Schizosaccharomyces pombe: one gene and its partners. Changing the gene in region 4 together with the main gene of any one other region gives a genetic interaction. Each region holds a gene or a part of one and is shown on either strand. Other genes may lie near its edges.

What was found.
Region 1: mutations in ask1 (region 4) and klp6 are lethal when combined (synthetic lethality), as found in Schizosaccharomyces pombe (3 studies listed by BioGRID, with this or other methods).
Region 2: mutations in ask1 (region 4) and reb1 together harm fitness more than expected from each alone (negative genetic interaction), as found in Schizosaccharomyces pombe (2 studies listed by BioGRID).
Region 3: mutations in ask1 (region 4) and ccp1 together harm fitness more than expected from each alone (negative genetic interaction), as found in Schizosaccharomyces pombe (3 studies listed by BioGRID, with this or other methods).

The regions. Positions count from the first base shown.
Region 1 is NC_003423.3:528,358-537,038, forward strand, and holds klp6 (kinesin-8 family plus-end directed microtubule motor Klp6), read right to left. Parts: upstream 6,792-8,681; 5' UTR 6,735-6,791; coding exon 6,704-6,734; exon of another isoform or gene 6,664-6,703; coding exon 4,340-6,663; 3' UTR 3,836-4,339; downstream 1-3,835. Other genes in the region: WD repeat protein, Vid27 family, conserved in fungi and plants, read right to left, coding at 1,096-3,385, 3,455-3,547, 3,600-3,622; rps1902 (40S ribosomal protein eS19), read left to right, coding at 7,026-7,101, 7,275-7,630; rhp14 (DNA repair protein), read left to right, coding at 8,628-8,681.
Region 2 is NC_003423.3:191,252-195,608, reverse strand, and holds reb1 (RNA polymerase I transcription termination factor/ RNA polymerase II transcription factor Reb1), read left to right. Parts: upstream 1-1,999; 5' UTR 2,000-2,066; coding exon 2,067-3,043; exon of another isoform or gene 3,044-3,084; coding exon 3,085-3,411; intron 3,412-3,462; coding exon 3,463-3,673; 3' UTR 3,674-3,857; downstream 3,858-4,357. Other genes in the region: ubiquitin ligase Mfr1, read right to left, coding at 1-764, 811-931; asparagine--tRNA (Asn) ligase Slm5, read left to right, coding at 3,933-4,120, 4,195-4,321.
Region 3 is NC_003423.3:2,391,419-2,399,318, reverse strand, and holds ccp1 (CENP-A histone disassembly chaperone Ccp1), read left to right. Parts: upstream 1-3,737; 5' UTR 3,738-3,757; coding exon 3,758-3,830; exon of another isoform or gene 3,831-3,920; coding exon 3,921-4,031; exon of another isoform or gene 4,032-4,100; coding exon 4,101-4,616; exon of another isoform or gene 4,617-4,709; coding exon 4,710-4,744; 3' UTR 4,745-4,876; coding exon of another isoform or gene 4,877-5,525; 3' UTR 5,526-5,616; coding exon of another isoform or gene 5,617-5,645; 3' UTR 5,646-5,750; exon of another isoform or gene 5,751-5,761; intron 5,762-5,812; 3' UTR 5,813-5,847; downstream 5,848-7,900. Other genes in the region: eIF2 alpha kinase Gcn2, read right to left, coding at 1-2,478, 2,528-2,644; tlg1 (SNARE protein Tgl1), read right to left, coding at 4,877-5,525, 5,617-5,645; protein mug20, read left to right, coding at 6,216-6,349, 6,393-6,660, 6,715-6,768; pib1 (ubiquitin-protein ligase E/phosphatidylinositol(3)-phosphate binding protein), read left to right, coding at 7,222-7,900.
Region 4 is NC_003423.3:1,560,323-1,567,483, forward strand, and holds ask1 (DASH complex subunit Ask1), read right to left. Parts: upstream 3,330-7,161; 5' UTR 3,243-3,329; coding exon 3,226-3,242; intron 3,171-3,225; coding exon 3,023-3,170; intron 2,945-3,022; coding exon 2,186-2,944; 3' UTR 2,004-2,185; downstream 1-2,003. Other genes in the region: app1 (actin cortical patch protein), read right to left, coding at 1-800; protein trafficking protein Pga2, read right to left, coding at 1,315-1,713; protein meu25, read left to right, coding at 3,580-5,448; septation protein Uds1, read left to right, coding at 6,081-7,161. UniProt on the Schizosaccharomyces pombe protein: Component of the DASH complex that connects microtubules with kinetochores and couples microtubule depolymerisation to chromosome movement; it is involved in retrieving kinetochores to the spindle poles before their re-orientation on the spindle in early mitosis and allows microtubule depolymerization to pull chromosomes apart and resist detachment during anaphase.

The DNA of each region.
Region 1 (8,681 bases), 1.0 Mb from region 4:
TTATCTTTTATTTTATTTACTAAGTTTGATTTGACTTTGTTAGCAAGAGGAGGCTATATTATTATTCTTAGGTAGTCATGAGATATCTGGCCCAAACGAATTTATGATGGAAGAGTTTTTGTTTTTGGCTGCAAACTTTTATTTTGTCTGTATGTTTTGCTTTTATTTTTGGCGCCGTGAAAGGAGAATTTTTCAATTCACTTGTTATTTGAATAATTGAATAAATAAATTTGATATTTTAATTAACCGTTATTTGGTTTGTTTATAAGTATTATGAGACATATACATTGTAGAGGATTTGTAATAGTGTAACGAATGATTTTGTATATTAAATGTTTAATTACACTGTCACTGCTTTGAGTAAAGAGCATCTCTTTCCTTGTGATAAGCAAATAATTTTGAGTGTAAAATGTTACAAAAAAAATTATTTATATCCCCATTTACACTTTTCAAATCTCATAGTTTACTAAAACATGTATTTGTCTAATCACCCTACCCAAAATCCCGTACAGATTGCCCGACCAAAGATAATTCGAATGTTTGAACTGCTTTTTACGTGCACAAAGAAATTGTGATTATATTAAATTAAATAAACTAACTATAACAACTAAACGAAACAAATCCCACGTTTGCGACGGCAAACTAAATCGATCATCCAAAGTCCGTGAAAAACGCTCAAGGGAGTATGTAATTTATGTATGTACAAGATAGACGAGAAAGTAAAAAATCCAACTAGACTGTAATAATGCTGGGCTCTACTTATATATGTATGCATATGCAAAACAAAAAAAAAGAAAACATGCTCCCATAATAAGCCAACCATCAACTTCATATAGTAACAACGAAAGTATCAAACAATACACTAGGCATCATTAGTCGTTTCGTTCTATGGCCCGCACACACCCAAAGCGGGAGGAATAAGGTAAAATCGAACCCAAGCTCAAAAAAATCAAAGCCAAGGAGATCATAAAAAATGACAAAAAGAGCAGACAGGTAATACAAACATTAAAAAAATGACATTAAGAGCATTGTGGTGCACTTAAAGTCTTGTTCAAATCAAACGAAGTAACGATATACAACCCATCATTTATGATTTTAATATGGTGCATTGACAATGTCGTGCTTGGATCGTAATTTTTTTACCGGAGTGCAGATAGATTCCCGAGTTGGTCTACGCAGCGATGATTTGTCCACCATAGCTACGTCGTCAGGTAGAGCCACAATCAGACTACGATCGGTTCCAAACCTAAAGTCTTCAGCTTGAACATTGGCATCGTATCTTCGAATCTTATAACTATCCGTAAATCCTCGTTTAACACGATCCAAGTTCCAGCTGATCAAAAATGGGCCTATACTGGATACAATAGTTGTTTCCTTTGCGTCAATTCCGGTATTGAATTTAGCTGGTGTAAAGGATGCACCTCCCTTGAGCTCTCTCTGCATCATCGCTATATGTTGTGGACTTAGCTGTAGTCGTTTAGGTTTTGGCTTTTTATCTTTGGCGAAATTACGCTCAAAACCCAAACGACCGGCATATCGACCCTCTTTGATACGGGTGTCAATCAACAAAATATATGTTTTACAGGTAGCTAGCACAAAATCACCAGACGCTGTGACATCCACCCCGATAATCGCCTCACCAAGCGCTGGTAAAGCAGTCTTTGCGTTCACACCAATACGATCAAATAGACGGATGTCACCTTTGTTACTAGCAACTGCTATATAACCGTTTTCAGTTGTAGCAGCAGAACTAAAGTCATTCTTAGTAGCATACTGCTTGAACTGTTCAGCAACCAGTTTATTGCCCTCCACACGAGGATCAATTCGGAAGATGGAATTGTTTGAAAGACCAATCAAGGTTTGTTCAGCTGTCATTTGTGCGAATTTGTTGTCTGGTGTAAATGTAACGAGAGGAACATCATCGTGGACTTTCCACTCGTCAACGATCTTTCCATATTCAATATCCATATGATACAGACTATGTGGCGCATTTTCAGTTTGGAATAAAATCGAAGAATCTTGATTGTGTAACATCAGCTTGCTAGGTCGGAGTGATTTGCCCTTAGGCGTTGAAAGATTGTTCAAAGCGGTTTGGAATTTTAACCCTTTTTCGTCGACATGCTTAAAAACGCCAATTTTGTTGTTTCGGACGACGTAAGATCTATCGTTTTTATATCCTACCGCTAACAAACTGTTATGCTCTTTAGCAGCTTCCTTTCGCCATCTTGATTCATCCAAATCATCAGCCTCACCGTCACTAAAATCTGCAAACGAATCTTCGAAATCGCTGGCTTCCTCATCCTCCTCTTCCTCTTCCTCCTTCCTGCTTAACAACTGTTGACGAGCAAACTCCTCGTCTTCACTATCTTCTAATTCTTCATCTTCATGAAAGGTTTCCATAACATAATCACGCTGTTCATCATCAATTTTGAGCCAACGCTGTTGGTTGAGACTTTCCCAAAGTGCACGCATTAGCAGTTCCTGAAATTGCTCCATGCGAACTTGCGAATCGAATCGTAACAACCATGAAAAGGCATTACTATTGGCGTCAAAATAATTCCAAATAAACGAAAGATGTTCAAAAGAAAATACTGGATTCATGTCTGCATCTACAGACTGGCTTAACCATGTCTTCTCTTCAGTGCTTATAGTAAACCAATAATTCCAATCTCCCAAGTCAAATACGCTCGCTTCCACATTTGGATCTTGTAAAATAAAAACCTCCTCAACTGCATCGAATAAATGTAATTCAGCACTTATTGTTCCCATTAGCTCGCCCTCTAGGCTCTTGATATTTTCAGTTTTGGTGACCTCTTCTTTTTCCGGATTAACAATCGAGGTTTGCTGTTGAACTAGAGGCTCTTCAGCTTCCTGTTGTCCTAAAAGATATTTTTTTGCAATCTCATCATCCAATTGCTCTTGCTTTTTTAAACGCATCAAGTCTTCGGACTCCAAATCCAACTTGGTGACAATATTTTCTAAACTGTCCACTTCCTTTGATGGTCGAGTAATGGGATTGCTAAATTGCTCCAAGTCGGCAAGCGTAGCCTTTTCGTGAGATTGTCGGTATTTGCGTTCGTACATACACTGCAAAGCTACCATTTCAAAGGTATAAGCAACGCCTTCTTGTAAACAATTCTCACACGTAAACTCGTACAACGTGCCATCTTGAAAGTCTGGGTTATCCCACATTATCGTGATGCTGTCTTTATTTACGTCAAATCTCAAGTGCAATTTTTCGTCTAGTAAAAACGACTGTTCGTCCTCAGCTTCGTCTCCATCATCTTCTAGCTCTTCTTCTCCTTCTTCGTATGCTCTTTGTATGACAAGCTGATACTGAAATTCCGCCGTTGTTCGTCGAATTGACGCACTTGCATCCTTGAACCTATACAATCGTTAGCTGTACGAACCCAATACAAATATTAATGATTTATCTCATTCCGTTCAAACTTACATGCACTCCCTGTAATTTTCATGCACCGAATACAGCTGCCCATAAGGGATTTGAACAATTTCGGTCGAATTCGTGTTACCCCATATGTACTTCCTAGATCTTAAGTTAGTATTGTTATTTCATCAATTGCGACTTTAGCACTTACCCCAATGATTTTAGCATAAACATTGTTAATTTTTGAGTATTTTTCTTTGCTTGACAAGCGCTATTTTATACAAATGAGAAATCAGAGGTATATGCTGAGCATAAAATCGTTCAGCCAGGCATGATGAAATACGCCGATATCAAGTAACAATGTTACTTATGTTTACATTTAAAGGCGTCCCTAATACAAAACGCTAGCTGAATAAGCAAGATGAATAATCATACACAATTTCAAAGTTATTTTACTTTTTCAATTACAAATATTATTAAAAGAAAAGCACCGAATTAGAAAATGGAATGCAAAATGTGAAACGAGTAATTGATGCAAAGTCCATATAAATATATGATCGTTAACTTTAACGCCTTGTTCAAAAGTGCTATTAAATAGGGATTTCTTGCTTACAGACAAATTGGCATAAACGGTCAATCATTATCCCGATTAAATTAAAAATTGATGAACAGTGCACAAAACAAAAGCATTTTCACCTTGACATGAGAATATCAAAAATTATTAGGCCTCTTATAAATTAAATTCGTCAAATAAAAGAACGGCGCGACTATGGTTCATAGATACATGGATATGTCAAACAGTGTCTAAAGGGGAATGCAAAAAAATGATGAAATGCTAAATCATAAGTAGCTTAAAAATGAAAATGAAGAAAAGCCAATGAGGAGTTGATGTTGTCCTTCCAAAAAAAATTATACCAACTATTTGAGTGAAAACCGATCTCGTTGGTTTCTTCAAGCATTAGGAGTATTCTCAGTCCCGCCAGTTTTTTGTAAAGGTTGTGAAACAAGCGATATACGGCGTACTGGTTGTTTCAGTGCAGTTGTAATTATAGGACTCAGAGTATGAGTTGGCCATTTGGAAGAATGAGAACTTTTGTTTTTCGCGACATTAGAATGCAATGACAATGACGTTAAGCTATTTCGGGCATCTCTCGAAGGAACAAGAAAAGAGCGATCGTTGTTCATATTATGTTTATCTAAAGATTTTTCCACTTTCGGTTTCGAATCTTTATTCTTTATTTCAACAGGAGGTACGGAACTAGTAGTGGGAACTTCACTAAATCGAACTCGTTTCTTCAAAGGCTTCTTTAGAACTCGAGCAGCTTTGGATGGTGAGCGAGCCTTGAATCGACTAGGAGAGCGAGGTATTTCAAACATTGATAATAGAGGTGCTTTTCCTTTTTCAATTAAATTGGGAACTTGAATGGTTGGCTCTGAAGGTACTATTCCAACCAATTGGTCAAAGGCCCTTGCAAGGGATTCATTAACATCAATGGCATTTCCTGGTAACAGGGGGAATAGTAGGAATAGGTTCTGGATAAGCTTACGAGACGTTGAAGAGAATGTTTCAGACTCATGCTTGGCATCAAGAATTTGGTTTTCGATAATAGATTTCAACAAATCGACGTCGTCTTGCAACATGTCAGCATACATATCAGCCCCCTCACCTTTGAACGAAGACACTATATGAGAAATACTGTTTTGAAAAGTTTTGCAGATTTCTTCTGGATTAACTTTGGCAGTAATCAAGCTTCTTTGATCGTATAACTTTGCAAGTCTTGTTTCGACAGATTTTATATTATGCCCCGACATAGCATCACTTTCCTTAGCAATGGAAATCCACATCTTTGTTAATGTGATTTCATCTTCAATCCTTCTCAATGTACGTACATGTTCAATTAGTGATTTCTGCAGATCCCTTGAACCATCAAATGAGTTTTTGAGCATGCTTCTAGCATCTAACATTTTAATTTCTCGAGAAGAAATTTTTCGTACCTCCTTATTTAAAGCCAATTGCTTAGACTCTTCAGCAATCCTCTTTTGAAGTATGCTAACCTTTTGTCGTAATTCGTAAATGGTGCGTACATATTCACTTACATGCCTATCTACGCTCACCACGTTTCTCGAAACCTTCGTTTTGATGTTTTTGGCTCGATTGCCATACTTTAAGGTATTATGTGTCTCATCATAATGCTCCGACGACGGTGAGATACAAACTATCATACACGTGCGGCAATTTCCGCCTAAACTGAACTTTAAAAGACGAGTCAACTTCGAGTCTCTATATGGAACATGTTGTCGACGACGAGGTTCGCACAACGAGTTGATGCAATTTCCCAATGCCAGTAAAGACCGATTGATGTTTGCTCCTTCTACTAAACGTTTGCCTCTATTTTTCGTTGCACTCGCTCTCTCTGAGCCTGCTAAATCAATAAAAGAGAATACGGAACGGACTTTATGGGAATTTTGGGACTCTGATTCCTCCTGCTTCTCACCCGATTTCGGAGTTTGCGTGATATAAATCTGTAAAACGGCATGCGAGCGTGACGAAACAGCATTGGCTTCTGTTGGTGACATGGTTCGATTACTGTTTCCACGAATAATAATCTCCATTACTTCTTCCAAATTAGTTGGTGTAAAATATGAGAGACCAGGAACGGATACGTTTTGCTCAGCATCTTCACAAATATTTAACGATTTTGGTTTTTCCATAGAAAGGGGATCCTGTACTAAAAGATCTCGAATCTTTTCATTATATATTTCAAGATATGAGACACTAATGTCGACGTTCATCGTTCGCTTGAGTCCTTCAACTCTATCTAACAATGCCCTCATCGTTAAAAAAATAATGCCTGGATCGTCTGGTCTACCACTGATTGTGTGTGTCTTACCACATCCTGTAGCACCATATGCAAACACAGTGGCATTATATCCCTGCAAAACACTGTCCAACAACGGCTCTGTGGTACCCTTGTAAACATCCTCCTGTGAGGCTTCTTCACCAAAAAGACGATCAAATGCATATCGAACATCCCGAAAGCGTTTCCCTGCAGGTAATAGCGATTTTTGGACTTTGGCCAATGGATTTTCTTCAGGAGGATCGAAAATTAGCACGTTATCGTCTAAAACACGCACAATTTTTCGAATTCCATTCGTACAAAAAGTATTCGAAGATGTATTTGACACTGCCAAACTTCCATCTCCAAGAAATTCTTTGGATTTCGGAGTTTCCGCGAGCAATCCCTTTTCTCTTTCAGTAAACGGTCGTACACGAACTTGATGGTCAGTTTCGAAGGATTTTTTTGAAATTCTTACCTGCAACGGAAATTGAAGACCCTTCTTTCATAGCAGTATCGTAATACTGATTCTAGGAATGAATTTGTTTTAGTTGTGTGAAGCTATTAAGAAGAACACAAGTATGGGAAGCTTGAAATGTAAACAATGAAAAAATTACCAAGAAAAATACAAGAAAAATAAAATAAAACTATTAAAAATAAAATATACAAGTTATTTATGTATTTTAAATCCCCAAATAGTTACTTTTATATTTAGCAGTCACTTTTTATGAGTTGGTATCGAATTTGGTATAGCATTCCAATCCAGCTAAATTAACGGTTAACCCAGTAGTAACGGTAAAATGGCAGGTGTTAGCGTAAAGGACGTCGATGCTCAGCAGTTTATCAATGCTTATGCTGCTTTTTTAAAGCGCTCCGGTAGGTAGAAGATTGAGCTGTTAATGGGAACTTTTGGTTGTAGAAGGTTTTCATCTGTCTGATCACAGAATAAGATTGTTTAGCATACGTGTGAAATTGACAGTGAACTTGTAGCTTATTAACATTTACTCACTCATTTCTTTCTATAAAGCAAGTTTCTAACTGATCCGTAGGTAAAATGACCACTCCTCAGTGGATTGATATTGTCAAGACCGGTACTCACAAGGAATTAGCTCCGTACGATCCTGATTGGTACTACGTTCGTGCTGCCGCTATTGCTCGTCACATTTACCTTCGTAAGCAAGTCGGTGTTGGTCGTCTCTGCAAGGTCTATGGTGGTTCCGTCAACCGTGGCATGCGTCCTTCTCATCACCGTGATGGATCTGGCAGTGTCCAACGCAAAGTCGTTCAAAGTTTGGAAAAAATCGGTGTCCTCGAGAAGTCCGACAACGGTGGCCGTCGTATCTCACAACAAGGTCAACGTGACTTGGACCGCATTGCATACTCCTTACTCGAGGATGAAGAATAAAAAAAGGAATAGCTTAATCAATAAATGATGTTTCGTGGGTTGTTATACCATTAATTGTTTTGTGTAAAGGTATGCTGTTCTCGTAATTACTGGTCTTGGCACCATAACTTCATAGTACGTATATGACTGAAGCGTCAATGTCAGTGCGCTATTGGTAAAATCATTAAGATTTAAAAATATCTGAAGCAAGAATTCTTTATTTTTTTTGTTTGGAATTCGTCTAGTTGAAGCACTTTCGGTAATCGCAGAGCTTTAGCGTCTCTCAAACGTCTGTTTTAGCTAATAGTTAAAAAACGATTATCCTACCAATTCATAATCAAAATATCCTTTTGATGAGTTTATTTAGTCAACATTATGTTTGCTTATTACAAATCGTCTCTAATTATTGTACCTCATATATTAGCTAAATATACAAGGACAAGGGACAATATTTTATTATATCCTGCTATTAAGATTATGCAAATAGAAGCATTGAAGCCAAAAGAAAGTAATGTAATGTACTCTTATGCTAAATGTTTGATAATTTAAACTATATTGTAGTGTTTTGGTATTTCAAATTAAAGGAGAAGCGCACTCACAAAATTGATGCAGAAATATAAATATATATATATACAGTTTATAAAATTAAAATGTGGGATGAAAACTTGGTACTTTTTCTCATGAAGCAAACTTGGTGACTTCTCTTCTCCATGATTTATGATGAGAAAAGCTGACTAACCTTTCACATATTACCTTTCTAATGAATTCTTTACGGATGAGCATTTTTTCTTTTAATTATTGAACAATCAGATTATATTTTCATTAAAAAATCAAAAAATTTGTAATTAAATTGAGACTTAGAGATTAAGAAGCTTGGTCATTACAAAACCCGTATCGACATCTATAAATTGCTTTCTTATTGATTGTTTCATTTCTAACAATAGCCATTCTCATTTTGGATTATTATTTGATTTTTTGAATTATCATACTAGGGAAATAAAATAAAAAAACTTCCGTAATGGAAAATTCGTCAATTGTCAAGTCACCGAATCCAACAATCGAGGAGCAAAGA
Region 2 (4,357 bases), 1.4 Mb from region 4:
TTTGACCGCTGCTGTATGCTCTTCAAACTTATGTAAAGGACGTGAAGAGCGGTAATCCCATACGAATAAATTATTGTCATTCCCTCCTGAAGCAAGCTGTCCTAGACTTCTATCCCATTGCAATCCGCATATTTCTTGTTCATGAACTTTCATCATTTCGGCACAGCAACCTGGTGCTCTTAGGTCATGATGTAAAATTACTTCGTCTTTGCCTCCACTTGTGAGGGTATTATCGTTCCATGCTAATGCTGCCACCCTTTCGGAGTGACCTTTTAAAGATCTGACTGATTTCGTAGACTCGATATCCCAGATGTAAATTACTCCTGAATCTGTCCCTACAGCTAATTGAGTTCCTTTACCTGTCCATAAGACGCTTGTGACATGATTTGTTGCTCCGAAATCATGTAATTGAACCACTTTACCACTTGCTGCTGACCAGAGATAAATGCTGCTTGCTAGTCCGACTGCCAAGACATTAGATTGGCCCCAGTCAAGCAAGTTTAAATAAAAGTCATTTTTTAAGTAAGGTGCATCCAAGATTTTATATGGAGTTTTTGGAAAAGCTCTTTTGGGCTTTTGTGGTTGCCGCAACATATCTTGAGATTGCGGTGAAATAGGAGATAGAGAATATGATTTTCTATCAGGTGTATCCAACATTTTCTTCTCAATTTTCCTTTTGTCTTCTCCATAATAGAAGGCTCTAGAGCGAGATGCTTGTGAACCGAAGAGCTCCATGCTTAGTAGCTCCATGAATTGCCTTTGAACTGCTGTCGTTAGTAATGGGAATATAAAACTAAAAAAGGTACATACTAGTGCCAGAGGTTTTGCGCCTAAGATTTGATCCATGGCTTAACACACATTCTTTGAATGACTGGAAACTAAAGTTGAACTCATTGCTAACGTTGCGAATGGGAATGAATCGGTCTCCCATTGTCAACCAATTCTTTATAAGTTGAAGTTAGTCGGGATGGAAGGGAAATGTTGAGATTCCTATTTCGTGAATAAATACCTTCCATGCTTTATTTGTTTTTACTGAGTGCTTTTTTCTGCCCGTCTGCAAGACATTGCTACAGAATTATGAAACCAGGTGGCTTGAAAAAATGCTAATTATGAGCTATAATGACTGCAGTAAACAAACATTTGCTAAATACTCTGTATAACTGCTAAAAATAAAGCTATCCTGTGATCGCCGTATTACCTAATGCTACCGTTTAAACTAAACAAATGCACTCATCAAAACAAACTGTTGATAAAAAATATCTCAATAACAATATTATAGTCATCAACCAGCAAAAGGTGATGTTATGGTAAGAGAACTCCTAAAATATGATGTTCATAGAAAAACAACAACAATGATCAGTTGACCACGATGTGCCAAACCCATTGTTTTCTGAATGTTTATTATGATCATCAGATCCCGGTCTTGTAAACTTATTGCCAAGAACCCAATTTCTTCAAAATGTTCAATTAATTAAACATTTATTTTAGTTGTTTTGTAACAGAGTAAATAGTGCTATAGATTCGTTCAAAAAAATTCCAACTACTATCGAATGCAAATACTTTTTACCATGTATGTGAGTACAAAAAAAATTTTCTCCTCATTCTCATTTCAATTGATTTATTCCTAACTATTTCTGTATTTCTTTTGGGATATTCATTTTTAAAGACAAATCTTCGTATGCTACTAATTTTTCCAATTAAATACTATTGGTATATTTCTGCATTTCTTGTTTATTTGATTAATAGTACAATTTCATATTTTAGGACGATAATAAATATGAGTTTTTTTGTACTAAGTGGTAAGCAAAAACAACATTTTTTGTATATCATTAATGTTTTCGTTGTACTACTTAGCATTGCCTATAAGGAAATGCAGCGTGTCGATATATCCCTTAATAACAAACCATCTTTATTTCAGATTTACACTCCTCAGTTTGTGTCCCACCCTTCCTAAATCGCTGTGCTAGCAAACTGCGAATTAAAGCTCACGAAGCGTTTTGTACGATATTAGCGATTGATAAGTTGAAGTGATTACTCAATTATAGTACTTCAAAAATATAATCTTTATGGATACCTCCGTATTAAATCCGGAACTTCAGATTCATGGATTTATTGGCGTGGATTCTTTGCAATCATCAAGGAAACGAAAGAATGATTTTGATGATTTTCCACTTAACAAAGGATTGAAAACAAATAACAATGACTATTCTGGATCAATAGAGCCTAAGTTTTCTCCCGCGTTAAGCATTAAAGAAGATGGTAAAAATGATCGCAATTTCGAGGCCTTAATGTCTCTTCAAGCCCAAGACTCCAACCTTTCTGAACAAAATACATCCATTCATTTGGATGCTTTAGCCTCCTCTTCTATAGCTTTAGGAAATGATAATGTGGATTCGAGCGCCTTCTTGTCAAAAGTTAACAAAGGTGTGAATGCCATGAGAAACTCTACTTCGAATCAAACAAATGATTCTATTTTAATAAGCCCTTCGGAAATTACCAATATGGATCCATTTTTGAAAGGTAGTGCTAGATGGACTGCGGAACATTGGGACTATTTAGAACGACGAATGCAAAACTTCTGTCAAACCTATTCATTAGACCATACACAGGTAGCCGATTCTCTACACGAAAAAAGACTTCACGGGCCACTCTCTTCTTTAGTTAAATTATTGGTTCAAGAAATGCCTAGTTTTACCAGAAGAACAATATTACGGCACCTCCGGGCCCTTTACAACATCCCAGGTTATGAGAAATATAGTAGAAAAAATTCTTCTGGAAGAGGGGATTTCGGGGTCCAGGAAACTGCCATTATTTCCCAAGAAGTACATAATTTTATTATGGATCAAGGATGGTCCGAGTATCAATTTTGCAATCAAATTTGGGCAGGAAAATGTCCAAAAACAATCAGAATGTTTTACTCTAATTTATATAAAAAGCTTTCCCATCGTGATGCCAAGAGTATTTATCACCATGTACGACGTGCATATAACCCGTTTGAAGATCGCTGTGTGTGGAGCAAAGAAGAAGATGAAGAATTAAGAAAGTATGTGTTTATATTTTTATTCAAAAATCATTAACGTTTAGAAATGTTGTTGAACATGGTAAATGCTGGACGAAAATTGGTCGTAAAATGGCTCGAATGCCTAATGATTGTCGTGATCGTTGGCGCGACGTAGTACGTTTTGGCGATAAATTGAAACGAAATGCTTGGTCGTTGGAAGAGGAAACTCAGTTATTGCAAATAGTTGCTGAACTCCGTAACCGTGAAGACTTAAGTTCTGACATTAATTGGACGCTTGTTGCCCAAATGTTAGGTACTAGGACTCGTTTACAGTGTCGTTATAAATTTCAGCAATTGACGAAGGCTGCTTCAAAATTTGAACTTCAAGAAAACGTTTGGCTCTTAGAAAGGTAAGTATTGACCTACATAATTTCTCTTGCTTGCTAATATTTTAATTTAAGGATTTACGACTCGTTATTGAACAATGGTGGTAAAATTCATTGGGAAAATATCGTAAAAGAAGCTAATGGACGATGGACACGCGATCAGATGTTGTTTCAATTTATAAATTTGAAAAAAATGATACCAAGTTACGACAATCTTCCTCTTCTAGAAGCCACGAAGTCAGCCATTGATGACTTTAAAGTGGTACTTTCTGGATTCTCCAATTGACGTCCTTACAATTTTTTGAACGAAAAAATTTGTTTTAACTTACTTAAGTAACTTTGTATCTTTTTACAAGTCCTTATTAAAATGACTTAATTCTTAACGCAACACCTTCATACTGAGGATATGTAAAGTCGCCTTACTACTACCGCTCTTTGCATTTCTAGTTATTGGCGAATAGTTTTTGGAAGAATTCATAATTTCCTTAGCAATAGAGGATTTTTTGTAAATTAATAATTAAAATTGAATTGTTTGCTAATTCCGTATGAATAAATTCCAACTACCAAAAACTTTAAAGTCTTTATGGCATCACCCACATAATGGAGAGTTAATAAGCATAAACGGCTGGGTACGATCTATCCGAAAACTAAAAAATGTTTGTTTTGCCATGGTTTCTGATGGTACATGTCAACAAGCCCTTCAAGTGGTGACTTCGCCTGAACAGAGTAAGAAGTATGGTTGAGGAGGAGACATAAAATCTAAATTATATGATATCTTTTTCCTACTAACATTAATTTATTATCAAGGCTATCATATGGTGCTAGTGTGAATATTGAAGGCCAGTTGGCAGTTTCTAAAAACGCAAAACTTGGATTGCAGCAGTATGAACTGTTGGCTGAGAAAATAAAAATTTACGGCCAGATAAATGATGATGTATGTGCTTTCAAAATTGAATATACTGCAAGTCTA
Region 3 (7,900 bases), 830 kb from region 4:
TTCCATAGAAGTAGAAAAAGTCATGCACATTTCGAAGAGTATAATACCCAAGCTATACATATCAACCTTTGCATCGTAGCGTACCCCATTACGCCTACTGAGAAGTTCAGGAGCTACGTACAAAGCTGTACCGACACCTGTTGTGAGATCTTCATCTGCTGATTGGCGATTTTTCCATTTGTCATTGTTATCTTGGTAATTTTCATTTTCTGTAGCCAAGCCAAAATCACCAAGCTTTACATTTCTATTTTCGTCTAAAAAAATATTTCCAGGCTTAAGATCTCTGTGCATCATTCCCCGACTGTGAATATATGCCAAAGCTTCTAAAATTTGTCTAAACAACCGCCACATTTCATCCACAGGAATTTTATCTCGTATGATATCTTGCAATGACAACTTTTCACAATATTCCATTTGTATGTAGAGCGTAGCATTCAAACCATTTTCTTGTGTTTTAACTGAAGAAGCTTCTTCAATGCTGCTGTCTTTATCGGAAGAACCTTCTTTATCTGAAGTATTAGAATACTGAAAGGAGATGTCAGAAGCTTCAGGGTCTTCCTCGTCTGCAGATGAATTATAATCATCTTCAAAGTGAATATCGAGGCTAGAAAGCTTATCGGCTGGAAGACTTGAAGATTGCCGAAAGTCCACTGCCATATTTAAAGATTGACTCAACGACTCACTATCGGAGCTAATTATCTCAGTTACAGTATCATTAGCTTCAGTTTCAACCCAAGCAGTATAATAACGCACTACATGTTCATGATGTAAACGAGACAAAGTCATAACTTCACGTAAAATTCTGCTATTCTCTTTATCATCGCTCAAAAGGACAAGCTTTTTAACCGCATAAAACCTTCCATCAATTCGATTTTTGACTTTAACTACTTCACCAAAACCGCCACGTCCTAAAAATTCAAGTTCTTCAAAATCTGTTTCATAACGTGAAACGCTTTTCCTGTACAACAAATCAATAATTCCATCCTGTTGACCACCATAAGAAGGGCGTGCAGATTTTGAAAAGGTACCCTGCTCAACTGGAGGAAGAACTGCTGTACCCAAACGAATGACATGACTACTTAACAAGTCAATGGCGCTAGGGCGTTTCCTTGAATCGCGCATTAAACAGCGACGAACCAAATCTTGATAAGACCCCGGAAGAAGAGGAATTACATGAGTCATAATCAGTTTTAGTGAAGAGAATTTATTCAAAACGTGAGCTCCACAAAGCATCTGCAATACTAATAGTCCAAAACACCAGATGTCAGTTTTTCTCGATGCAGCTGCAAATGATGACTCAGAAACCTCTGGGGGATACAGCCCTTCCGGTAGAATATTGGTAATGGATTGAGAATTAATGTTAAAAGGATGAGATGCGTTCATGTCTCGTAAAGTGCGTGTAAACCCAAAATCCATTAGCTTTGCAAAAGTTCTATGGCCTGAATGAAAAAGCACCACATTGTCCAAGTGCAAACTTTTGTGTGAAATTCCAAGACGATGCAGCTCAGCTAAACCTTCTAAAATATTGTTTGAAAAAGCTCTAACGGTTTCAACGTCTAAAGTAAGGACGGTTTGTAAAAGACTAAACAGAGTGAACTTCGGAGAATATTCTTGCAAAACGTACAACCTCCAACCATAACCTCGTGTCTCTCTTTCCAGTTGATACTCATAAATTGAAGCTAGTAAATCATGCCGAATAACTTTCAGACTTTCAAGTTCATATTCTAATTCCTGTATTTCACGTTTTCCGTCTTCTGTACTCCAGTAAGGCGTACTAATTCGGACGGTTCTAAGTAGAAAAACACAATCCTGTAAAGATATCTCTTTAGATTCAGGCTTGACCAAAGTCAAAGTAGAAAGGTTGGAATGCGAGATTGTATACAAAGGAAGCACTCTATTAAATGTAACCAAAGAATCGTGACAGTCTCTAACGGATATAGAACAATCAAAATAAATAGAAGTTGGGAGGGTTTCGAGAGAAGTTGTTTCCTTACTATTCGTCTTTTTCTTAGAAGAAGATTGCGGTGTTTCGTATGAGCGGCGTTGTAATTCATCTTGAATTTTGTTCTGAAGCGTTTGTTCTTCCTCAAATAAGGCATCTTTCTCCCGTTTTAACCTAAGTTGTAAATCCACTTCCGCTCTCTCTCGATCATGCTTTAGTTGTACCGCACGTTCCTCTTCCAAGCTAGCAAATTGAGAAGAGAGGTCAGACTGCCAATCATTAAGATAGTCCTGCACTATACTGGCAAGTTCAAAAATCATTTCCTCTCCTAGCAAGTCTTTTGCCTTTGTATCTAACTTATCAAGCAAAAATCGAATCTGAGAGTTTAGGACATTTTCTCCATTTTGTAACTTGATCACTGGTTTCACATAAGGATAGCTTCTTCCAAGCTCAATACAAAGATCAAGTTTCGCAATACTTTTAGAGTTTGCACTTCTTGAACATAGATGTATACAATAAACATGGCCGTTTGTAACCTAAGATACCATTGTTAGTAAATGGGTAGTGAACAAACATTAATCATACATTCCAAGCATTCCTAACTTTCAACTCCTCAAAATCATCCATAAAAATGGCTTTGAGGGCCTCAATTTCATTTTCTTGAATTTCCTTGCATAGTTCCAGACGTTTCGCCGCATCCATGAACAGCTTTTACCAACTATTGTTGCCAATAATTTACTAGTTTAATAGGAAGCAAATATATTTATTCACAATTAAACTGTTGGTTGAAAATTCGTCCTGTGTAAACTGGAAGGAAAGAAAGCAAATCAGTTTATATCAGGACGGCAATATAGGACTTGAAAATATAATTATTATCAATTCTATTTCTTTTCTTTCCTCTGAATTGGATTTTTAGATAAATTGCTTGTTTGCCGCGAATTTGCTGGAGGAAGAAGTTTCTCGCTCGTGGTATACTAAAGATGGAAGAACGCAGTATACTGGTATTGTAATGAGTATAGATTGATTTGAGCCGAATAAATGCGATAATCGGCACGGATCATACATTCTTTAGTTAAGATGTAATTTTGAGTTGGATAAGATGAATCAGACTTCAGATCTTCAATCGATAACGAACAGTTGGATATAATGATTATCTGCATTTGTATGCAAAGCGCTTCATTGTTTGAAGTGAAGCGGTCAAAAAGTTTTAACTTTTAATCGCGTTTGGTTAACTTTTCTTCATTGTTTTACCATAATCATGGATTTTTGATTAAACTACAAAGACATACTTCATAACTGATAAAATAGATACACCAGTAAACTATAACAGCGTTTCATATAATGCAATATAATACAAATTTGTAGTTGCATTCGAAATGTTATACCTTTTTTCCTCCTCTCCTTTCTTCATCATGGTCAGGAGAAGTTTGGAAAATGCAAGCACGCTAGCCTGAAAGCTCGAAACCGCGCAAACTACAGTTTATTTTCTAATTTTACTCTTTGTTCAGACTAATAAGTTATTACACTTATAAAAACAACCTATGAAAATGGTGTGAGTTAAAAACTAGAATCCTGCTCGATTACTAGTAATATGGATGGTTTGTATACTGTTGAAAAAGTCAAGGTTAAATTATTGCAAGCTACAGAAGCTACGGCAGTCATTATATTGGAAAGTAAAGCCTCTGATATACTTTGCTAGCATTGTTCATCGTACGTAAAAACGTGGTAAGGGTAGTGCCTTCATCATCGTTGACGAAGTGAGAATTTTCGAATTACTATTAGATTTTTCTCCCTTGCACGAAATTAACCTACAAAATGGAGGCAGCTCAAGCTTTTGAAAATCTCGCAAACCTAGAGCAAGAGTTTGGAAAAGCAGAAATCGAAATATGTATGTTTAATCGATTTTGCATTTTTGTAGCATAAAATTACGTTTTTTATAAAAAATGTGTTAACAATTGCTAATGTATCTTGGTGCTAGTGAAGAAACAAAATGAGCTTTTTCAACCGCTTTTTGAGCAGCGTCGTGATATTTTGAAGACCATTAACAACTTTTGGGTAGTAGTTCTGGAAGCTGCTGGGGATGAAATCAGTATGTAAAATTGTATACTATTATTGTTTTTGTTTAAACATTGTTGAAATTCTAATTAAGTTATTTCAGGCCAGTACATAACACCTGAAGATAGTGTGTTACTTGAAAAACTCGAAAATATTTATGTTGAAAGGTTTAATGAAAAGGAACCAAGGGATGTCCGAATTTCGCTTACCTTTCAACCAAACGAATATCTTCAGGACGACAACCTTACCTTGGTAAAAGAAGTGAGAATTAAAGAGGAAAAAGCAAAGGATGATGAGGGTTTGGAAAAAAAGATAACCAAGTATACTTCGCAACCTGTTGATATACATTGGAAACCAGGAAAGAGTTTATTTAGAAAAAATAAAAAATTACCTCCTAATTTTTTTGACTATTTTCAATGGACCGGAGAGGAAGAGGACGATGATTTTGATGGAGCAACACTCACAATTTTTCTGGCAGAGGATCTTTTTCCAAATGCTGTAAAATATTTTACAGAAGCCATGACCGAAGAAGCGAGTGATGAGGATGAGTCAGTAGATTTGGAGGAAGATGAGGAAGAAGAAGACGAAGAAGACGAAGAAGGGGACGAAGAAAAGCAAGGTACGAAAACAGGTCTTAAAAAAATAAGGCGAAAGCATGAATAGATGATATGATAGATGTCAATGTATTGTAAAACTAACACAAAAATCGCAGAACCACCTTCCAAAAAGTCCAAGAAGTCTAATTAATTTAAGGAACGAGAACACAGACATGAAATTTTTTTTGTCTTCCCAAAGCTCGAGGTTACCTATGGAATGATTGGTTATTCGTTTATTGGGAAGATGGTTCAAAGAATTAAATAATACAATATAAAGATTTAGTTACAGCACAATAACCAATACCAACAATGCAATTAAGATGATAATGAGTACGGTAATACAACATCCAGATTTAGAGTCTGCGCTTGCAATCGTAAAATCTTTCAACCGCTTCATACCCCTGCGAAGCTTACTATTAGTGGTCTCAATGGAATTGTCAAGAGTATCTAACAAGTCAGCCTGTTGACCCAATTCTTCGCCCATCAAAGCTGCCTGCCCACGAATGTTTCCAATCGTGTCGTAAACCCCGTCCAGCATTACGTCTTGTTGCTGATAAAGCTGCTCTTGATATTGTCGATTGACAGCATGATCTTCTTCAGACAAACCAGCTGAGGCACCATTGTCAACAGTATAAGGTTCTGTAGAAACTGGTGTGCTTGGGGCAGCACCCATCTTTAACTGTATATTGTTTAACTCAATATCCAGTTCCGAGACAAATCTCCTTCTCGACTTTAGTTCTTCTTCATCTAACCCAAAATGCTCAGAATTTTTCATCGCTATTTCCACAGCAGCTTTTAAGTCCTTCAATGTTTCGCTTAACTCATCAATGGCGTAAGTAAGCTCAGTATTTGGTGAAAGGACTCCAGAGTTTCGTGCGGCCATAAAAGAATTGTAAAGCTTTCGCACTTGCTCCATTTGATTTGATGCATCCCTATATTTCGAATAAATGTCAGTTAAATAAAATCTTAAAGCAACAAAAGGAATCTATTAAGACATTTCTGGTTCATCATTGCACAACTTACGCTTTGACTTCATAAAAGGGGTCCTCCATGTTGATGATGTAGAGATATGAGCCAATTTTCTACTTGGAAATGCTTTTATAATTTAAAGAAAAATAAGATAATATAAAATAAACGAAGCAAATTCGTATTATCAGGTATGCTGTCTGCAAATACTAAAGTACTGTGCTGATTCAGTCAAGTAACGACTTTACGATAGATAACGCTACCTAACTGCTCACTCAAAGATCACCGTAAACATTGAGTCCTTACAAAACAAGTAATGGAGAATAAATAAGAAAGCAATATCTCAATCTTGTTGAAAAAACAGCAACCTCCCCTTGTCACTATTTTGTTTTGATTCAACCGTATTCCACCGTTGTATGTTAGATTAAATGTAAACATCTAGGTAAATAAAACGTTTTCAATGGCCAAAAGCAATCTTTCATTCTAGCCTTTGTGCTAAAAAATTAATTCTATTGCTAAAAACCTAAGACTAAATGTTTTAAGAGAAACTGAACACAAAGAAAGTCTTGTGAGCTAAAACAGTACGCTATATATCGCTAGCTTGATGTAAACAAAAGACGCGTAGACACTATTAACATGTTATCAAGAACCACAACATGTCTGAAATTATAACGTCTTTGCAAACAGAGCTGAGCAATCGCCATGCTAACATGGTATCTGAAGCAGTATTAGCATTCAGTGAGCATCATGATAGTGCATTGCATTCATATTTTTTGAATGCACGTGTCAAGTACGTCCATAAGTTTCTTCAGCTAATTGACCCAACAATTCAGAGACGTGATTTTAGAAAGCCTAAGAACGACAGAGGAGAAGCTTCGTGCTTTAGATAAATTACAGCTGGATGCTTCGAAAAACCTGTCAAACCTGTTGGTGGAATATAATAGTATAAACGCAGAATTGGAGTCCGTCAATAGTAAGATCTCTTCTATTTCTTCCCAAGAATATGCATTGGAAGAATTTCAGGCACTTTCCCAGAATTTTGAGAAGAATTTAGTTCAGCATCGTCGTAATTCCCAAAATAAGCTCAAATGTGCAATGGAGGTAAACATAAAAACAAATTATATTGTCATATTACTAACCTCAATAAATTTAAAGAAACTAAAGATGATTGAAACCTCAACTCATAAAGCTATTCTCGACAATTTTTAAATTTCAGAGATCTAATGTCATACTGCCTCAAACCAAGCTTGATAATAACGAAGAAAGTCAACTTTCATCAAACACGCTGACATCGTTATATTAAGGTCTAAATGAAACGGCGCTAAATTTGCTTCTGAGCTCTATGAAACATACATAAAGAAAAGATGTTTAAATGCGTAATTTCTGATAAAGTTATTCTTCTTGGATAGCTTTTTGATATTTACTACAATTGATATTCTAAATGACTTATTATCTTATTCTCTTACGTTAACGAAGTTTAAAAAATTTATTTTGCGATATGCAGTGAGTTTTCCACTTCCACCGGTAATCATATTCCTTTGATCAGTATAAGTTACCCTTTTGTTTTGACCTTATCTCCTGAGGCAACTTTCAACACCATTCTAGCGGGTACTCAACTTTTTGCTCTCGAACATAGTTTAATGAATTTTTATCAAATTGAGTATGGACGAGGATGAGACGACTTATCCAGAGGCTTTGAGACGCTTACTCATTGAAACGCCGGCGGCAATTTGGCAACTGGACGATGAAAGTGCGCAGTGCAATAATTGTGGTGGTCCTTTTACCTGGTTTCGGAGAAGACATCATTGTAGATGGTGTGGTAAACTTTTTTGTTACAATTGCTGCAATAGTTTTGCAAAGCTTCCTGTGAGCAGTGTTTCAGTAGATCCAACTGAGGATCTTATCCCACAAGACATGTTTATTAGAGATCCTGATTTTCTTGCTAATGATAATGATGATGATAATGATTCACAAGACTCTTCATGGATCAATGTACGAGTTTGTGTCAATTGTCGTCAGCAATTGTCGGAACTAAAAGAACTGGATTTACCCTATCCTATCACTACTTGTTTGAACGATGATACCACTACTCGATCTAACAATCAAGTTATACAGTCTTCCTGTGGAAACAATTTGCAGAGGATTGAAGAGCCTGATGATTTTGTTGAATGTCCAGTTTGCTATGCTCCTCTCTCAAGTTTTAAAACCCTTTCTGAACGGGAATCTCATGTTGCGAATTGTCTAAGTAATAATAGTTCATCTCCAAGAAACATGACTGAATTTTTGAAACACGCTAGAAGATACATAAGTATGCAGCTATCAGAGACTTCTCCTTGCCTGG
Region 4 (7,161 bases):
AGAAGAACAGCTTCCACAGAAAACTTGTTATTTTTAGTGGTGTAAAACGGGATCACTTCATCTATAATAAAATATCCTTCAACATTCGTAGCAACGTTAAATTCAGCAACAACTTTCTGCTCAAAATTCTTATCAGTAGCATATATTTTTACCAAAACAAACTCATCTTTTAAGCCTCGTTGCAGAGACGCTAAAGAGCGCTCCTCAAAGTATTCCTCACATTTGGCCAAACCTATAGTAGAAATGTATTGAGAATTTACCGAAGGAGTCATAATTCGATTAAAAAATCCTGATATTCCATACCCCGATTGATACCAACTCCTTGAGGCAGACAATGAAGGGTTAGGTACATTCACGCCATTTCCCTGTAAGTCGTCGGGAGTCGTATGCAGGGACAAAGGTGGATCATTCTCAGTTTTAGAGGTTGATGATAATTCAATATCATTAGGCTTTCCATCATTCACGTTCACGTTCAATTGAGCTTTCGTGTCTACTACAACCTGCAAATTTGTGTTTTCGTCATCCTTTTCAGGATATGTTCCCGTTTCTTTGGATTTTGGAGGCAGACCGACATATCTACGAAGTAAATTCAACATTAAACGATCTTTACGACCAAGATTATTGAGATCAGGGTTCTCGTAAACCCAACCGCGAACATGAACTGATATGTGCTTGGGTTCACTACCGTACTCTTTACCAGTACTAATGAAACATTGAGGATAAATGGTTATTGAAGTCAAATCATTGATAGTAGGGCTCTCTTCAGAGCCCCTAAACAAACGTCCAAATGATCGAAACATGGACGGTAAGAGCCCACCCCGAAACGTAACATGTCAAGCTCAAAATAAGCAAATTTGAACCCATATGCATGCGTTAATAGCGTTTATCGTAATATTACCGCAAATACTTAAATTTTGTTAGAGCATTTAAGGATTATTTAGAATACGTAATATTTCAACTCAAAATACTGGAATGAGTGGGAAAGAAAAATAAATTGATCTAAACGCTGAAATTAAACCTAACAGGGGATTGATTAAAGCTTGGCTCACGAAAAGATATTATGACTTAAAAATGCAAGAAAAAGGAGAAACAATCAAAGGACTTTCGTTGATCTCGTAGGAAAAGAATGCACTCTCAAATTGCATTATTAATCCTACATTCAATTAATTAGCTTTTGCTTTCATCCATGCAGTCACGGTTTCAAGAGAAAAGGATATCAAATTTTCACAAAGAAATTAAAACAATGATTAACAAACTAAATGACACAAGTTTTCTAAAGTGCTTGGAGTAATGAATATTATCTCACAACTAGAATTAATCCTCAAGGTGCTCTTCGATGTCTTCATCATCATCAGCGTAAGCATCAAGAGGAGATTTGTCTTGATTCTTAAAGTATTCTTCACGTTGTTTGCGAATACGGCGGCGTGCTGAATAACCCCAACGGAATTCGGCATCAGGATTTTCTTCTTCTTCCTCATCATCCGTGTCAAATTCTCCATGTTCTTTGGGCTTCGTGCCATGCGTCATTTCCGGATCTAAAGTACCATCTACTTCGCCTTCTAATAAAGATTTTCTATGTTCTCTCTCCTGTATCTTGGCTCCCAACTTCATCAAATATGGCCGGATTAACATATATCCTCCAACATATACGATAATTCGAATCCAGTCCTTCAATGAATATGATTGTAAATAGCCTGCAACGTCAAACCCCATTTTCCTTGCACAAAAAAGAGTGGTGGATACTAAGTTCACCTGTCTGCTCAACCAGGCAAACTATTATTAACCAAGTCACTAAAATTCTTTAGACTTTTTTAGAATTTTTAAAACCTCGTTATTCGTCTTAACGTATATTCTCAATGATATGCTGTAAAAAGATTTATTAATTAGGCTATAATACTAATTTATTTAAAAATTTTATAGTTATTTGCTTTCTTAGTTTATTTTAAAATTATTTTCATACAAATTTTACTTGGTTTACAGTATTTATACCGTGACTTATGATTCTCTTAAAAGAAGAATTTTCCAAATTAAATAGAACGTACAGTAAATAAAAAATTATATAACATAAATATAAGGTGGGATTTTATGAAGTAGACATATGTGCTTAGAAAATAAATAGAAAAAATGCGAAAGTAAGGTTCACTACTAAAGGCGAAACGAAGGTGATAACTTCAGCAGTGCTTTATCAGAGTTCCCAACTATCTTCTTCTTTGACAAAACTATCATTAGAATCATTCAAGGTTTCTAATTTCCTCTGCAAAGACAGGCTTCGCTCGTTGGCTTGCTGAGAAGAACCCACCCCCATGGTATGCGGGCTGAATTGGATAGTTTTAGGTGGAGACATTCCACTTGGGTTAATGCTATCATAGCTTTCATGCTCAAATTCTGCAAATAAAGAAAGAGCATGCGAAGAGTTTCTATCGTTAAGTGAAGGCATGTCCATTTTCATTGATATGGGAGAAGGCGATACAAAAGGAGAAGAATCAATATCCATTACTTCTTGAGATTGCAAATTCTTAGGCTCACGTGGAGTCACTTGTACTTGCCAATTTGTATCTAAAACGCGATGCAGAAGGGCACTACGACCTGTATGAGGATTATTTTCTGGTTTTCTTAGCGGAGTCTGCATCCTTGCCGGGATGGGGGTCAAAGCTGCATCATCTAACGAAATATCCTCTAAGGAGACATCCATCTTCTTAGGAGTGGACTGTACAAAATCCTCGTTTTTTGTATTATCTCCTTGTACAGCTGCATCGGGAAAATCAGATTTTCCGACAAAAGAATGCCTCTTTTCCAAATGTTCATTCTTTGTGTGCAGCTGTAGGTCCGCCTCTGTAGAATTAGACATAACATCTTGATCGCTTGGATTGGATTCTACTGGAACAGGTTCCTCTACACCCGAAAGTGAAACATTGGCACTTGCTTCAAAAAACTGCTTCCAAAACTGTTTTCTGTTAGCTTAATTCTTAAAATAATACAAATTACAAGCTGAATCATGAGTGGCAGTTGCCATTGAACATACTTTTGAAGAGTCCCATATAGTGTTACAATTTTTTGCGTATTTTTCCACGATAGGCAAGATTTTGGTAGTCACTGTTCGATGACATTTAGAAAAATTTGCATCAATTTCGTAAAGTGCTAGAGTAATCGATTGTTCCAATCGTTCTAATCTAATTCTTTTGTTAGAGAATGTTTATCTACAGTCGCGACAAGTTTACTGCATACTGTTCCAAATTGTTCATAAGAATGACATCTAATACTCATAAAAACTTTGAAAATATTATTTCTTAGTATAGAAACTCTCAATGGTGAAATTTATGGCGAACTGCAACTGAGGTGTAGGTATACTAGCGTCCATTATTAGCGATGTTTCGTAAAGTAAACAAGTTAAATTGGCAATATACAGTGAGATTTTTGTAAGTTCAAGATAATACTAATACAATCATTGTTGAGTAATAAATATGAATTTTAAAGTTTTGTTTACTTTCCTCAGTGGACTAAATGCAGACTGCAATGATCAAATGATCCATAGTAAACAAACATTCAACTTGTCTTTTGCCAGCATCCTCAAGATCCAAAATGAGTAGTATCTTTGGAGAGAATATTGTTTCAGATAGTATAGTAAATATGGAGTTGACGAACCCTGATAATACTACGACTATGCATCCCATCTATGAAACTAACATTGAAAAGGAAGTCCAGCAGGAGTTTTCTGACAATGTCTCTGAAAAAGAAACGATTGACTCAACTAAAAGCAAAATATCTTTAGAAAATATACAGCAAGAAATGGGAGCACTTGCCAAGAAAATTTTTCATAAATTAGGGGTTAAAGCAACCGACTTGGGATTTTCTAATGAGCATGATGACTCGCAGGATTCATTACAGACACTAGCGCCTTCTCCATCATATGTTCCACTTTTGAAGGTTATTGGAAGCTCTGAGGAGGTCAATAGCAACTTGGTATTAACCGACTTGGAAACAAATACTGATGGATATGATCCTAAATTTTTGATTTCTGTTAGGAAGTTTTTGATGGGATCTCCCAACTCTGGCTTTGTCGTTAAACATGAGAAACGTCTTCCAGATGGACCGCGTGTTCTGGCCCTTCGAGCCATTTCATCAGTCGATGAAGAAAATAGAAAAGAGCGCCTATCTCCTGATAGTGATCCTGTTGAAACAGAATCTGTTTATGTTGACAATGGAGAATTGTCAAATCAAAAAGTAGAAACAGTTGAAATTTCCGAAAAAGAACAAAATGATGATCCCGCCGGATATTCTCAATACCTTCTAGAGTTCAAGAAGAGTAAATGTCAAAAGAAAGTGCCGACTTTAGAGAGTATTGAGGAAAATGAAGGAACGGAACCTCATGACAACTTGACCTTTATGACTGATTTGGGAACTCCATACTATTCTCTGGGTAATGAATTTGAAAGAAAGCAAATTTTGGATGAATACGGGTTGCTGGCTAATGATGAAAACCTAGTTATTGGACACACGTTAAGAGCGGAGTATTGCTTTATGTTTGATGAAAGCGATATCCTGCAATTACGCAATTATGAACATACAGAAAAGGAACTTAGTGTCCTTCAATTTAAAGGGGTCTCGTCACGTTGGGATTTTCGTTGCTGTAGAGAAGAACGTTTACTCCGATTGCTACTATGTTTCGACAGTGAACATACTGGGCAATCTTTCATTCAACTGAACGATCCTGAAAATGAAAATGAAAAGGAAGAACAAAATTCCATTAGCATTAGGGAATTATCCTACTTCAGCACAAAACTTATTTCATTGATCTTACCCAAAGAAGCACATAAGCAGCGGTATATCATGCTAAGCTCCTTAGCAAAGACAAGGGAAGCTGATTTCTTTTGGTCTGAAGAGGAAAAAACTAATTATACAAACGAGCTTCTCAGCAACCCATGCAAATTCCTTTGTGAACTAGATCATTTCGATTCATTTCCTCATCAACAACAAGATCTACTCTGGAAGTACTTAGCGGAGTTTTCTGCTAGTTTAGAGTTAGACCCCAACCTTGCCCTTTGGAAGAAGCAAGTTATTTTTTCAAAAATCGGTCATCCGAAGTTGCTGGTTATGCCAATATCTAGTTTCCACTGCGTACAACGTTTCCCTGACCTTGTTTGCGTTCAAACTTCAACTGCTGAAACGTTTTTGTCTGTGGATCGTGAATTAACAACTTATGACCTAAACACTATTAAGTTGTTAAACACAGCACCTAGTCGTACAGCTCAAAACTGGCTTTTTATCATGCATCACCTAGAAATTGTAGGCTATTTATTTCCACATTTGGTTCATCTCGATAAACAGTATAGTTTATTAGATTATGCAAAGTCTGTTGAGCACATTCCAGAATTGGGCACTGTACAACGAAAAGGGTTTTTGAACAAAGTCGCATTTGATGATAACGAGGCTTTACTTTACCAAGTTTAAACGTACTGTCACATAATTTTCTATCACATGTTATCGACCATTCAGTGTTGAGGTTCCTAGGAATCTCTTCTAGGATGGTAGTGTACCTTTTAAGCGAAATTTTGTTTCATCTGCACATTCATTATTTACAAACCTATACGAACTTGACAAAAGTTTTTACGAATATACTAAATATTGACTTATTAATACTTGAAAATATTATCACTTTTTTTGAGGTGGTCTAAGTAAAAATGTGTAGGTCGAATTCGTCACATAGGGTAATAAATGTAAGTGTAGGACCGTTAAAGTATGCTCTAAATAATCTTTTAACATATAAAAAGTAATGTGGATTATTTGCAAACACCATAATGAATGTTGATCAAAATACCGGTTCAACGTCGATAAATAACAAACAGCAGAGCCCACCGATACACAAACCTAAAATTGCAAAGGGACTTTAATAGTCGTATAATCTGGAGAATGAAATGCTTAGCGACCGATCATTGCAACGTGATAATAGGTTGGCTTAGGTGCTTTGTTTATTTACATTTCAATGTTAGTTGTCATGGAAACGAAATTCATACAAAATAAAGCGTATGCGGCTGTAAACAAACAAAAGATTCAACATTTACATTTACCCATTTTACCCAAAAATGGGGTTTCATGGATGTTTAAGTACAGATGAATATGAACCTGAGTTAATTGAGAAATATGGGAATCCTGAACCACCTTCTTCAAGCATATTAATTAATACACGACCAGTCAATCCATTTTTATCCACTTTCGTGTATGTAGGAAAGGCTAGCAGTTCTGAAGATGTGTCTATATCTACAGGTGAGGAGGAAATGCGAACCCTTTTAGTTGCGTCTGCTGTTAAAGATGCAAAAGGTTGGGTGTACCTTTCCGGAAAAGACGTTGAAGAAATAAAACAGAAAATAAAAAACCTGCAGGGATTACTTGGTGTTTCTATAAAAAAACTGGCTGTCGAAGCCAAAATTAGAGAAGCTGCTAAGAATTTGATGGTTGCCCAAGCTAAGGAGAAAAAAGGAAAACATAAACAAAGTACGATAGAGCATTACGAACAATGTTCTCGTAGAGTTAGAGAACTTTCTTCTAAGATATGGCTTATTGAAAGGAAACTTGCAGAATTTTATATGCACCTATTGAAGCATATGGTTGCTGTGTGCATTGCTGAGCTTAAACCAGGTAGCTGTAGCAAGGTATCTTCACCGGTTTCTGCCATCACCGCTGATGAGAGCGCAACTGGATTTCGAGATGAAGAAATAATGAACAATGAGGAAATTGAGCAGCTTGTAGAGCGTATGAGCCGTATACTGGAAATTGCTCAATCAATGGGTAATTCAATTCGTGAACCATCTGTCCTAGATGCAGTACAAATGAACGCTGGTGAACGGCTACTCGAGCAAGTTCGTCACTTAGAGCTTATTTTGAAACAAATATACGAGAAAAAGTTGGAGGAAGATGCTGATGCGAAAGATATTGCTCCTCGCGCTATTGTGAACTTTTGGCGGTTACTTACTGAGCTGTTTCGCGGCGACAATGATACGCCAGAGAAGAGTAATGCACTTCCTGATGATGAACTCGATAAACATTTGAAATCTGATTTTGACATTGAATCATTTTGCTTTCTTCTGCACCATCTATTGTCATTATACCAAACACAAAAGAAAGAGCTTGCTTCAAGCAATGAACTTCTAGCAAGTGTCCGAGATG